Elephas maximus indicus: one gene and its partners. The protein of the gene in region 3 interacts with the protein of the main gene of each other region in a pairwise test. Links are inferred from orthologs where the notes say so. Each region holds a gene or a part of one and is shown on either strand. Other genes may lie near its edges. The genes, in order: COBL, COBLL1 and PACSIN1.

Region 1 (3,746 bases), on a different chromosome or scaffold from region 3:
AAAAAAAAAATTCGCCTCAAGCACACAGTAAATACTGTCTTACAGTCAAGCAATAGAGAGGCGGCTACAGAAACGAGTCAACAGAAATTTCAGTGAAGAACCAACAGAATCCAATTGCCTTTGGTAAGGTAAGAAAGTCACAAATTTCACATCTGTATCTATCCTTTATGATAGGCAAGTGATACATCTAAATTATACAAAACATTCAATACCCGAGAGTACTTTTTTCCTCTTACTTTAATACATAATAGTGGACACAGTGTGGGAGAACTAATAAAAATATCCATAATAACAATTTCTTGTTTTGTTATTATGTGCCTTGCAAAAGTCCTTATAGTTTTCCTTTGGGGCCCTGATGCAAAGGCCAATCAGAGCTGTGCAAACCACTATACAGAACCATACGCAGGGTTTAACCTCTTCATTTTATAGTACCTGGTTGGAAAAAGTACCGCCATCAGATGACACGTGAGTCCATAATCAGACTCTTTTAAAAGATTTTAAAAATACTCTTTGGATAGAGTTTTGCTGACCTCTTAAATGTTCTCTTGTCCATATTTATTTATAAGATAATAGTGGCAAAAAAGATCCTTCCTCTGTTTGGCTATGATAGCAACCGATTTAAAGGTAACTCTATTTTCTGTTACATATTTCCCCTAGTCACTTGGTATACCATGAAAAACGACTCCCCACATTTCTTTTCTTTTCTTTTTTTTGGTATTTGTCTGTTCAAAGGGAATTACATAACGGCAACTAGGTGCACTGCAAGGAAAAGTTCGTTTGAACACTTGTCAGCTTCAGGATTATTTGTTAACCTGGCTCACTTTTTCCTGGCATTAAAGGGCGAGCTTTTGTTTTTCTTTTTTTTTCTTTGTTTTTTTGTTTTTAAGAAGGAAACAGTTTGAAAACCTTTTACAGCCCTGGGCAACACTGGGGCATATGGGCTTACGGGCAGGGTGAGTCAGTAGGGCACAACTGCAAAAGAAAAGAGATTTGTTGTCCCCAAAGCTGCCTCCTTCAAGTCCAGTTGCTACAGCGGAAAGTGGGCCCATTCGGTAAGCAGGTGCAGGACCCACCCCAACAACTCATTCCATTTGCAGGACTCATAACACATTTGCTCCAGGCAAGTGAGTTCGAAAGGGCTAAAGAGCTCCGTGCTGAGATCCACAAACGTTCCCAAGGACGTCGCGCCCAACACCGGGATCCCAGTGGCTACACTGCCCTGGTTACGATGTGTACGTTTCCAGTGCGGACTCAGTCTCTACTTAAAGGAAAGGACTGTTTGTCCTGAATTACAAAAGTTGTTCTTACTGCTAGCAAAATTCTGTATGTGACGCGTAGTCCCTCCACTCAAGGTGTGAGGATGAAAAACAAGAATCTGGAAAGGTTTGGGCAGAGGGAGAATCATGAAGAGACATGCCTTGTACTTGTAAATCCAATCCTGGGGTCCCTAACTCTGGTATGGTCCGACTACCGCGCCCCTGCACACTGTCAAAGGGAAATTCCAGAAAAGAAAGCTATGGGGAAGGGACACAGTTGTCATGAAAACCTCTCCGGGCAATGCCCTATACAGAAACCGACCGAGAGCGCCCGGGCCAAAGAGGCTACAGAACTCCAACAACACTCGGCACCTGGACGTGGGAGGAGGGGGCAGCGGAGCAGGTTATTGTGGCCGGGTGAGGGGTGCCTTTAATGTGACAAGGTCATAGGGCAACTCAGTGACAGAGCTGGAGTCAGAGGCCTGGTCCCAGCAAGGCCGCCCGACTCGCAAGGCAGACACTCAGAAAAGGTGGCTGAGGAGGGCTTGGAGTTAGGTTGGGACTCTGCTTGACTGACCCCCATTATAGCGCGCGCACGTAAATACACCCAGCTGGAAAACGGCGCTCCGGCCTCCGCCTGACACGGTTACCTGGGAAACGACCCCAGCGCACAAAGTACACAACTCCACGTCCCCCTAGCAGGTCGCGGGCGGCCGCCTTCGCCTACAGGCCGGCCCGCCGGTACGGGAGCACACGCTCACCGCCCCCCGGCGCCCCGTGGGCCCAGGGCCGAAGCAGAGGCGCCCTCCCCGAGAGCGCACCAAGCCGAGCCCAGCCTTCCACCCCAGCACTGCCGCGCGCCCGGCCCGCTTACCCGGTGGGCGGCTTGGCCGCCGAGGCGGGCGCAGAGTCCATGGTGCCCGCGGGCGTGGGGCGCGGAGCTTGCGGCCGGGCCGAGTGAGGCGCGCTCGCCGCCTCCGCCTCGCTCATTCACTTTTTCCGCGCCGACCCATCGTCCTCCCACGCGGGGCCGGCGCAGGACAGCCGAGGAGCGGAGAGGGCGGGAGGGGCTGGAACAGTGCGGGGAGGGGCCCGCAGTCGCGCAGGGTGGGGGCGCCAGGAGCAAGGTGCGCCGCGCCCCCGCCGCTGTCGCCGCCGCGCCTACCCGAGCACCGCCCCGGCCCCGCCCGCTGGCCCGGCCGCTCGCCAGCGGACGATGCTACGGGAGTGCCAGGCTCGGCCCCGCGGGGTGCCGCCGGGGAAGGAGTGGGGCATGCACCCCGCGCTGGCCTCAGCCACCTCCCTCGGCTTCCTCTCCCCAGGAAGAGAGTGCGTCTTTCTCTGAGCCTGAGTTGTGGGTCCTGAGGCGCCAGAGCCCCAGCCGGGACCTGGAACTAGAGAGGAGAAGCTGGGGCAGGGCAAACCAGGTGCAGAGAGGCTGTGAGGGGGCGAAGTGTCAAGCCCAGCGGCAAGGAGTAAGGTTTAGAGAATAAGAAGGGAGTCTCTGGTGCTGCTGTCTCTGCTCTGGAACCCAACAGAAGCTTCCTCCACGCAGTGGGCACCTAGTGCAGTGGTTCTCAGCAGCACCTGAGAGCTTGTTAGAAGTGCAGATTCTGGGGCCACACCAGGTCTACTAAATAAAAAAACTCTGGGAAGTGGGTAGTGGGGCCCAGCAATGCGCAGTTGAACCAGGGCTCTTGTTTGATAGGCCCTCAAGTTTGAGAAGCTTGGTCTACTAAGTGCTTGCTTCATGTCTAGCCTTGTATTGGACTCCAGAGGTTTGGACAAACCATTAGGTGTGGACAGAAACGACAGCAGGGGCAAAGCACTTTGGAGCCCAGAGCGAGTGCTGGTCTTAGCAGATGCAGGAAAGAGAGGACCTTAAGCCAAAGGGCTTCTGGAAGAAGACCCGTCTGATCCGCCCATCTCCAGTGAGCAGCCCTTTCAGTAGCTGCATGTCTTAAGGCCTCTGGCCCTACTCTAGTTTTACCCTCAGAGGCCCCTTTGAATTATCTCCATACTCTTCCTAAACCAGTTTTCCACAGAGTCAGTTCCAACTCATGGTGGCCCCATGTGTGTCAGAGTAGAACTGTGACTCATAGGGTTTTCAGTGGCTGGTTTTTCAGAAGCAGACCACCAGGCCTTTCTTTTGAGGCAGCTCTGGATGAACTGGAACTTCCCAAAGCAGCAAAAGAGAACACACGGGTTGATATGAAAATCTGACCTACAAAAATGGTAATTTTATATGGTTCCGAAGAATAAACGGCCAATAAGATGCAAAAGGCTAATATGATGCAAGGTGAAGTGGGTCTACATATGTGATCAGCATTGAAAGAGGTGCTCTCTTGGGATCTAACATTGGGTAATGTACACAGAGGCTGGCCTGAGCTTTTCACCCATGGGTCCCCAGCTTTCTCATGAACAAAATCAGAGGGCCAGTCCAGATACCCAGTCCAAAGCCCTCCATGATTCCAGGTCTTGGTTGCTCAG
Region 2 (3,746 bases), on a different chromosome or scaffold from region 3:
TTAGTTTTGTACATTCTTTTGAAGCAAAGAATTTATTAGTTGAAACCTTTAAGCGCTCAAGTAAAATTTGCAGCATTTACTATAATTACGCTTATCACTAGAAAACTCTTTCCACTCCATCACAGAGCCCTTTGGTATCACACAAATACTCAAAGGTATCATTTGATTTCTGAACACCCATGGGACACTTTATGTACGTGGATATCCATACTATTTTTATTTTTGTAAACAGTACCTTAACCTAATTCTTACTTTTGGTCCATTTTAAATCCACCAATTCAGTCCTTACGTCTTATTTTTGGTACCTGCATACATTTCAATATGCCGTGAACTGTTCATCTTCATTTACAGCTCCGTTTAGAGACCTTGTTTTTATGTGTTTATACACAATAACATGGAACATATGAAAGAATATATGGCAATATCTAAACAGTGGAAAAACCTGGGGGAAAAAAGAGGAAAGGCAATACTGCTATGGGGGGGTGGGGGAAAGGAGCTAATCAGAGCAAAATGAAATAATTCATACATTACACGTTTCCTCTATGTAAAAAAATTATACTAAATATCTTTTAGTCATGTTGCTTTGAGACTTCTCCATGTTTCAAGACAACTGCCAATGTTCGCACGGCCTCTGACGAATAAACATGCTATGACTTGCTCCTAAGGAAACGGCTGTCATGTTCCAGGGAAAAATGACTTCTCTTTTAAATTAGGAAAACTTCACAACTCCCATTCATTTGATACAAAGTCAATTTTTCCTTGACTTTTTTTTATTTCTAACATATTCTTTTTAGGACATTTCTGGGTTCAGATTAAGGATGAATGAAAAGAAACAGAGTTGAAACAATTGTAGGAAAAAGTTATACTATGTCAGAGGGGTTTCAAAACTCAACTACCGATCCATGCTATTCCTTCTCTGTTTACCAAGACGAAGGTTATCTTCAGGTTCTCCCCCATCTCTTGCAGAACTACCTGTTCTCATTACTGTTTACCCAAACGCTCAGCACAGTGATTATTAGCATATTTGGCAGGAAGACATGCTTCATTTAATATTAACTCACCATGTGACAGCCCCTTCCCCTCCAATTTCTCCACAAACACGTGAGGATACAAAGAAGAGTACAGTTGTTTGCAGTCTGACTTTGCTCTTGCCTTTGGCATCAGTAATTGGCCACAAGCACACACACCCCCAATCGAGGCTCGCACCCTGCCTGGTTCCGGAACTGTCATGCAAGCTGACAGCTGGCACACCTGTGGCCCTCCACTCGCTCACAGAAAGCCCCTTCCCACAGTCACCCTGTTATTGCTCGCCTGTGTGGGCCTCAGCCTTTGGCCAAGGAAACTTTTTTTCTCCTTCACAGGAATTCACTTACAGGTATCGCCCTCCTCTCCTCCAGAGCCTCAACAAGGGGCCCTTTGTTAAGATTTTTGCTCCCAGACTCCTTACCCAATTCCTAGCATTCGGCTGGCCTTCAGCAACCCAGCGCGGCCCCAATACGAAAGCGTTCAAAACCACCAGATTCCCAACACCAGGCGGTCTCCAACGAGGCCGAAAGGAGGCAGCCTCCTCGCCTGCGTGTCTGATGGCCAGGGAGTCGCCCACCAGGTAAACTGGTTGAAGCCTCGCTAGCATCGCCCTCCCGGGTGAGTGAAGGTGAGACGCTCCAGGCTTACCCTGAGGTGGTGGCGGGCGGCAAGGGCGCCGCCCGGGCGTCCTCCGCGCGCGGGGCTCGGCTGTCCATCGCCCTGCGGTGCGCTGCGCGGGCTCCAGCTCCAAGTCGGCGCGTCACTGCTGGGGTGGGAGAGGCCGGCCGGTCAGGGCGGGACGCGCGCCCTTCCGAAGCCAGAGCCGGGCTGGCCACGCGTCAAGAGCCCGCCCGAGCCACCGAAGCCCCGGGCAGACCCGCCTCCCGGGTGCGCTTCCACCTGCGGGCCCAGACTCCCAGCCCGCGGGCGCCGCCGTCGCAGGGAGCGGCGGTGGCAGGAGGCGGCGCTGCAGCCCCCGCCCCGTGGGGTTTACTGGGTAGCCATTTGGCGCCTCCGGGGGAGGGAGAGGCGCTGGCCTGGCTGGAAGGAGAAGGAGCTGGGAAAGACGCTAAGACACTGCCGCCACGCCGACAGCGCACTGCCAGGCTGCCGAGCTGCCCAGACAAAACTTTTTTCGAAAAAAAAAAAAAAATTGGGAGTGTTAATCTCTTTTCCACCCAGGGCTCCTACTTTCTTTTCAAAAGGAGACAGTGGCTCGCCTGTTCTCTCCCGCGGCTTCCTCTCCCACTCTTCCCTCCCCCGTCCCGCGCGCTTTCAGTTGGGCTCTCAAGCCAGGACTTGAATGGAGGAGAAAGCGGCAGCCTCGCGGTGGCTCAGCCCAGCCGCCGGCCGGACCGAGACAGCACCTCCCCTTGCCCGCGGGCGGAGTGCACCGGCGCCTCTCCCCAAACTCGTACACTCACCCTGCCCCATTTCCCTGCCCAGGGCCCGGGACCTCGCCGCCACCTCCGCCGCCTAGCCACCCTAAAGTGGGGACGAGTTTCGACGGCATCGGGGCGAGAGAGGCAGCGAGCCGGAGAGAGGGACGGGGCGGGCGTGGGCGAGGACCGAGTTGGAATTTCCTCCCCCCCAGGGCTTCCAGTCTTTGGGGTCCTCCTGGGGAAGCCGAACGCCAATGAAGCTAACGGGCGAAGTGTTCCCATTCCCACCACTAGGGTATCACTTTAGGAAAGCTGGCGCGCCCAAGTCAGACAGGTGGGGGGCGGGGATGTGGAGAAGGAGAATACCTGCCCTGTGAGGTCTGGAGGAGTGGACCTGGGCCACCGCGGAAGTGCGGAGAAAAACTCACAGAACAAGGCTTGCAGCTTGCCCTCCCAGCAGCCTGACCTTCCACGTTCGGGTCTTTTTTTTTTTTTAACTTGACCTCTTAGGTTGCTACTCATTAAAAGTGCACCTGTGACACTGTGGCCTTCTTAATGGATAGCAGGTTTAATGTTGCCCTGTCTCTACAGGCATAATTTTTTTTTTTTTTAAGCCTATAAAAAAAAAAAAAAAGCCTATAGCAGCTGTGAAATGAAGGCTGGACAATATTGTGTCTAATGGCAATCTGTAAGCCAAGAATTGAGTGATAAATCTAATAATTCCCCTTATCTCTTGGTAGTTTTACAGGAATAAAAGAATCACGAAGACCCAGCTGTGTGCTTGTTTATAGGTTTTAGTTCTCGCGTGCTTTTTCTTCAGGTGATTCTTTACACCTGGCAAACAGGTATATTTGCATAACTTGTATATATAGTTTCAACAGCACCAATTGCTTTAAGGTGCTGGCCATTTTGATCAGTCCAAGAGCTTGCTTTCATAAAATAACTTGAAATTAACTTAAAAATGCAGTTTGAAAGTAAAAATATTTGGAATAATCTAATAGAGTTACACCAAGGATCATTCTGAAAGGAGCCTCTACTGTAATACCAGCATCAAATAGCAAATCTGTTAGGCACTTCACCCTACTGATAAGAAGCATTTGGTAGGTGTTAAAAATTAAATTGATATTTAGAGCAAAGCAACCAAAAAGATCACCGAAACTAGCTAACATACTAAATACCTAGTAACATGTCCTTGGTCTATTAAGAGCAGGCATTATTTATTCCTGTGTATAAAAGCATGCATTTTTACACATAGAAACAAAAGAAATGTGACTTATTTGAATTATAATATTGGAACCATATCAGAAAAAAGTTGCTTTTCAAAGTTGCCAATATTAC
Region 3 (3,746 bases):
CCACCTCTTGCCCCATCTGGCTCATTAGAATCCCAGCTATCATTCAGCACCCAGTCAGAATGCTGCCTCCTCCAGGAAGCCTTCCTCTGAGTGGCCCTAAATCAGAGCCCTCAAACCTTCTCCACATTGTCCACTCACTTGGTTGCCCTGTTCCGCCTTGGTGTGGGTTCTGGCATCTGGCAACCCTGACTAGGTATTGAATTTCTCGGGCTCCAATAGCTAACATGCAGTTGATCAGATCATTCGTACTGAAAGGGCCACTAAGGGCATGAATTTCAGTGCCTCTGGCACCAGGGTGTGGGGAGGGAGGGCAGGAGATGTAAATACATGACCAGCCCAGGTGATGCAATAGGGAGTGGTGTGGTCTGTAGCAACTAGAGTCTGCATGCCTACCTGAGGGGCTTACATTCAAATTAAAAACTCAGCCTTCCCCTCTAAAAGGCTGAGACCCAATCTGGCCATGACTACCCTAACTTTCTTTCCTTTTCTCTGGTTTCATTTTTCTACTTCATGCATATCATTTTAACATGTAGTCCATAGGGTCGCTATGAAGTCAGAATCGACTCGAAGACAACGGGTTTGGTTTATATACTATTTATTTTATTTAATGTCTGTCTTCCCTCACAAACATAAGCTACCCAGGGGCAGAGATTTGGTCTGTTTTATACTCTGCTGTAGTCCAACTCCTCGTCAACGACTGGCACATAGTAGGCCTTCAATAGATCAGTGCTAAATGAGTCATCAGCCAGCGCACTTCTCTCTGCAGCGAAGAACGCTGCCCACTCCCCTCTGTAAAGCCCGGGCTCCAGAAGCATTCAGGGTTCAACGCAGGAAGAATGAAGACCAGTGGGGTCACTTTTTAGGCCACAGCCCCCTCAGGGAGTCCCAGGGAGATGTTGCAGAGTCTGCCTTGGTGAAAGCAAGCCCAGTGGGAACTAGGGCACAAGGGTTAGTGACTCCGTCCCATGGGGTCAACAGGGCACTTCCGGGCGAAGCCGGCGGGGGATGGGTGGAGTGGTGGTGGTGGAGTATCTCTCCAGAGCGATCTCTCCTCCCCGCCAAACACTAAACATACCGCCCACACGCGCGCATCCATAAGCACCCGCACGTCCGAGGAGAGGAGGAGACATAGGAATTAGGAAAGGCCAGAAACCGACAGACAGAGCCGGAGGAAAGGCCAATAAGGTGGAGAAAGGGCAAAGAGGGGAGCGCAGCAGCACCCTCGGGCCCCAAGCTTGCCTTCAGACAGTCTGGGGAGGAGGAGGGCGCAAGGTCGGGAGATGCGCCCTGCACCCGCCGTGTGCAGAGCCCTCCTCCCCCGGCCAGGAGCACCCCGGGAGGAGGGAGCCTGGGCTGGGGAGCAGAGGGAGCAGGGGCGGGAGGGGAGGACCCAGGGCGCTGGCTAAGCCCGTTGCTGCCTCCTCAGCAGTCGCCGCGCTTCCACCTGCGCAGGCACCGCGCCGCTGTGCGCCGCGCAGCCATTGGCTTGCTAAAAATGCCTCCCTAATCTGCGCTCATCTGTGCACGCCTTCTCTTCATCCTCCCCCTCCTGCTGCTCCTCAGATCTGACCTTCCTCCTTCCCGCAGCCCGGGCGAGATCAGGGAGAGACGCGGTGGCGACGGCTGCGCCAGCCTCCTCCTCCCCCGGGAAGTCGTACGGGCTTGAGACCCGGCCCCAGACGACCCGCTTCGCCCGGTGGCGCCGCCTATGGTGCCTGGCGCTCCTGCCTACAGGTAGGGGGTCTGGTCCTTGGATGGGAGGTATCTGGGGGTCCATCCAGGGAATATTTGCGGTGGGGGCAAGGGCTGACACCTTCCTGGGCCGGGGCCTGGGGAGGATTGGGCATTTACCTGGATAGAGGTGGGCGCGTGGCCAAAGGTGCTTTGCAGGCGCATAGGGTCGCTGGCATCACTCAGGCAGTGCCAGGATGCCTGCGCTGGACCCCTTGAGAGTTGGGGTTGGCAGCTGGCAGTGGAGGCCTTTACCCTGGGGAAAGCGCAGGAAATAGGTTGCTTGGGAAGCTGAGGAATGGGCGCCGGTGGCTCAGGTGCCTGCCCTGGGGCATTTGGAAACCTGCTGAGGTGGGTGGGCTAGTGCCAGCTTAGTGCGTCCGCTATTTATGGATCAGAGTGGGCTGGGGAGAAACACAGCAGCAGATGCTTCCTGTCTGGTTTTTGATTAAAGGTATTTCCTTCTGTCCCCCGCCCCTTCCCCCACAGCTGGTATGGGGGGAGGGAGGCTGAGAAGGAGGTGATGCTAAGAGGCCCCCAGATACAGCAGAATCGCTGGTTTGCCCGGCACTGCCCACCCCCTCACCCTCAGGCCCGTGCTGCTTGTTGGAGCCATCTCTCATTCTTTGTCTTACAAGGTGCCATTGAAAGAGTTAAAGGGTCATTAGGGGTGGGGGGCACAACCGGCTTGGCTACAGCCAGCTTTAAACCTCAGCTGCTCCCCATCCACCACAGCCCAGCTTTGCACCCCAGGTACAGTGACACATGTGGGTGCTTTTCCCTGGGCAAAACCATAAATAACCCACATTGCCCTGACTCCTGGTGTCGCAAGGGTGCAAATGGAACTGTTGTTAATGATTTTGGAAGTTCTGTCCCCATGCACTCGGCCTTCCCATCACATGTCCAAATCACCACTCACAAGCCACCCCTCAGGGAGCTTCCCCAATACCTCAGGTGAAATGTTTGCCTCCTGCCCCTGTGTTCTCTGACCCAGCCTGCCTTGTGGCTTGGCTATTTCTGTCTTGTCTGTCGCCCTCTAGACTGTAGGTGCCTTCAGGGCAGGAATCTGTCTGATTCATCTCTGTCATCACTCTTGCACCTGAGCAGGGTCTGGCACCAAGTAAATGTTTGTGGAATGAATGAATGAGAGATTGAATGGACTTGAACTCCAGGAAATGCTGGAAACCTGAAGGAGGGAAGCCTGAAGGAGCCCGTTTGGGCTTTTCTTACATTCCCCAGGACCAAAGAGCCACCTAAAACAGACAGTTTTGTTTAGGCCCTTCCTAGACATGGAATGGATGGGGGCTAAGTCATTTGGAGATACATGCTGCAGTCCTGCTGGCTCCAAAGGGTCTTGCTGGTCCCTGTTTTGAGTGCCCTGGCCTGGTGCAGGCTTGGTAGAAGGCCTGAGTAGGAGGTCTGGCTCTCTTCAAGCCACTGGGCTGGCACCTTCTTCCTGGAATGCTAAGTTCAGACCAGGGGCCTCTCTACCTTTTTTCCCAGCCCTTGGGAAAATCCAAGTCAGCATCAAGGAGGCGAGGCTGGGAAGGCCCAAGGCTGGCCATTCTCAGCCTCTGGGGTCCTCATAGCAAGTGCTGAGCAAATCTAGTATCTCCATTGCGTGAATGAGCAAACCTAGGCCAGGGAAAGGGGCTACCCGCAAGGGTTCTGGCCTAGCCACAAAGGCTGTGTCTGTGAAGGACGTTGACATTTGCAGAGCCCCTTCCCTGCCTTGTTCGTGTGACAGTCATGCCCGATAAGACATCTGCAAGATGTTCTTGTCATGGTCTTACAGGGGAGGAGACTGTGGCCCAGACAGAGACAGCAGCAGAGTCAGAACCCGTGCTGGGGTCTTGGCTTCAAGTCCAGGGCTCTCTCCACTGAACTCGAGGGAGTGGGGGAGGAGGCGCCAGGCAGCAGACTGGGGTCACGGTGTTGGGTTGTCATCAAACCCAGAGACCCCTCGTCTCTGGCTCTGCCTTGTCTCCTAGTAACGGAGGGCTGTGCCTGTACGT

What was found.
Region 1: the proteins of PACSIN1 (region 3) and COBL interact in binary tests that used the Homo sapiens proteins (3 or more experiments, as listed by UniProt). The link is inferred for Elephas maximus indicus from reciprocal best matches to the Homo sapiens genes PACSIN1 and COBL.
Region 2: the proteins of PACSIN1 (region 3) and COBLL1 interact in binary tests that used the Homo sapiens proteins (3 or more experiments, as listed by UniProt). The link is inferred for Elephas maximus indicus from reciprocal best matches to the Homo sapiens genes PACSIN1 and COBLL1.

Annotation. Positions count from the first base shown.
Region 1 is NC_064826.1:111,953,055-111,956,800, reverse strand, and holds the start of COBL (protein cordon-bleu), read right to left. Parts: upstream 2,408-3,746; 5' UTR 2,247-2,407; coding exon 2,131-2,246; intron 1-2,130.
Region 2 is NC_064824.1:62,843,039-62,846,784, forward strand, and holds the start of COBLL1 (cordon-bleu protein-like 1), read right to left. Parts: upstream 2,645-3,746; 5' UTR 2,461-2,644; coding exon 2,451-2,460; intron 2,202-2,450; exon of another isoform or gene 1,793-2,201; coding exon 1,675-1,792; intron 1-1,674.
Region 3 is NC_064819.1:97,289,552-97,293,297, forward strand, and holds the start of PACSIN1 (protein kinase C and casein kinase substrate in neurons protein 1), read left to right. Parts: upstream 1-1,387; 5' UTR 1,388-1,734; intron 1,735-3,746. UniProt on the Homo sapiens protein: Plays a role in the reorganization of the microtubule cytoskeleton via its interaction with MAPT; this decreases microtubule stability and inhibits MAPT-induced microtubule polymerization.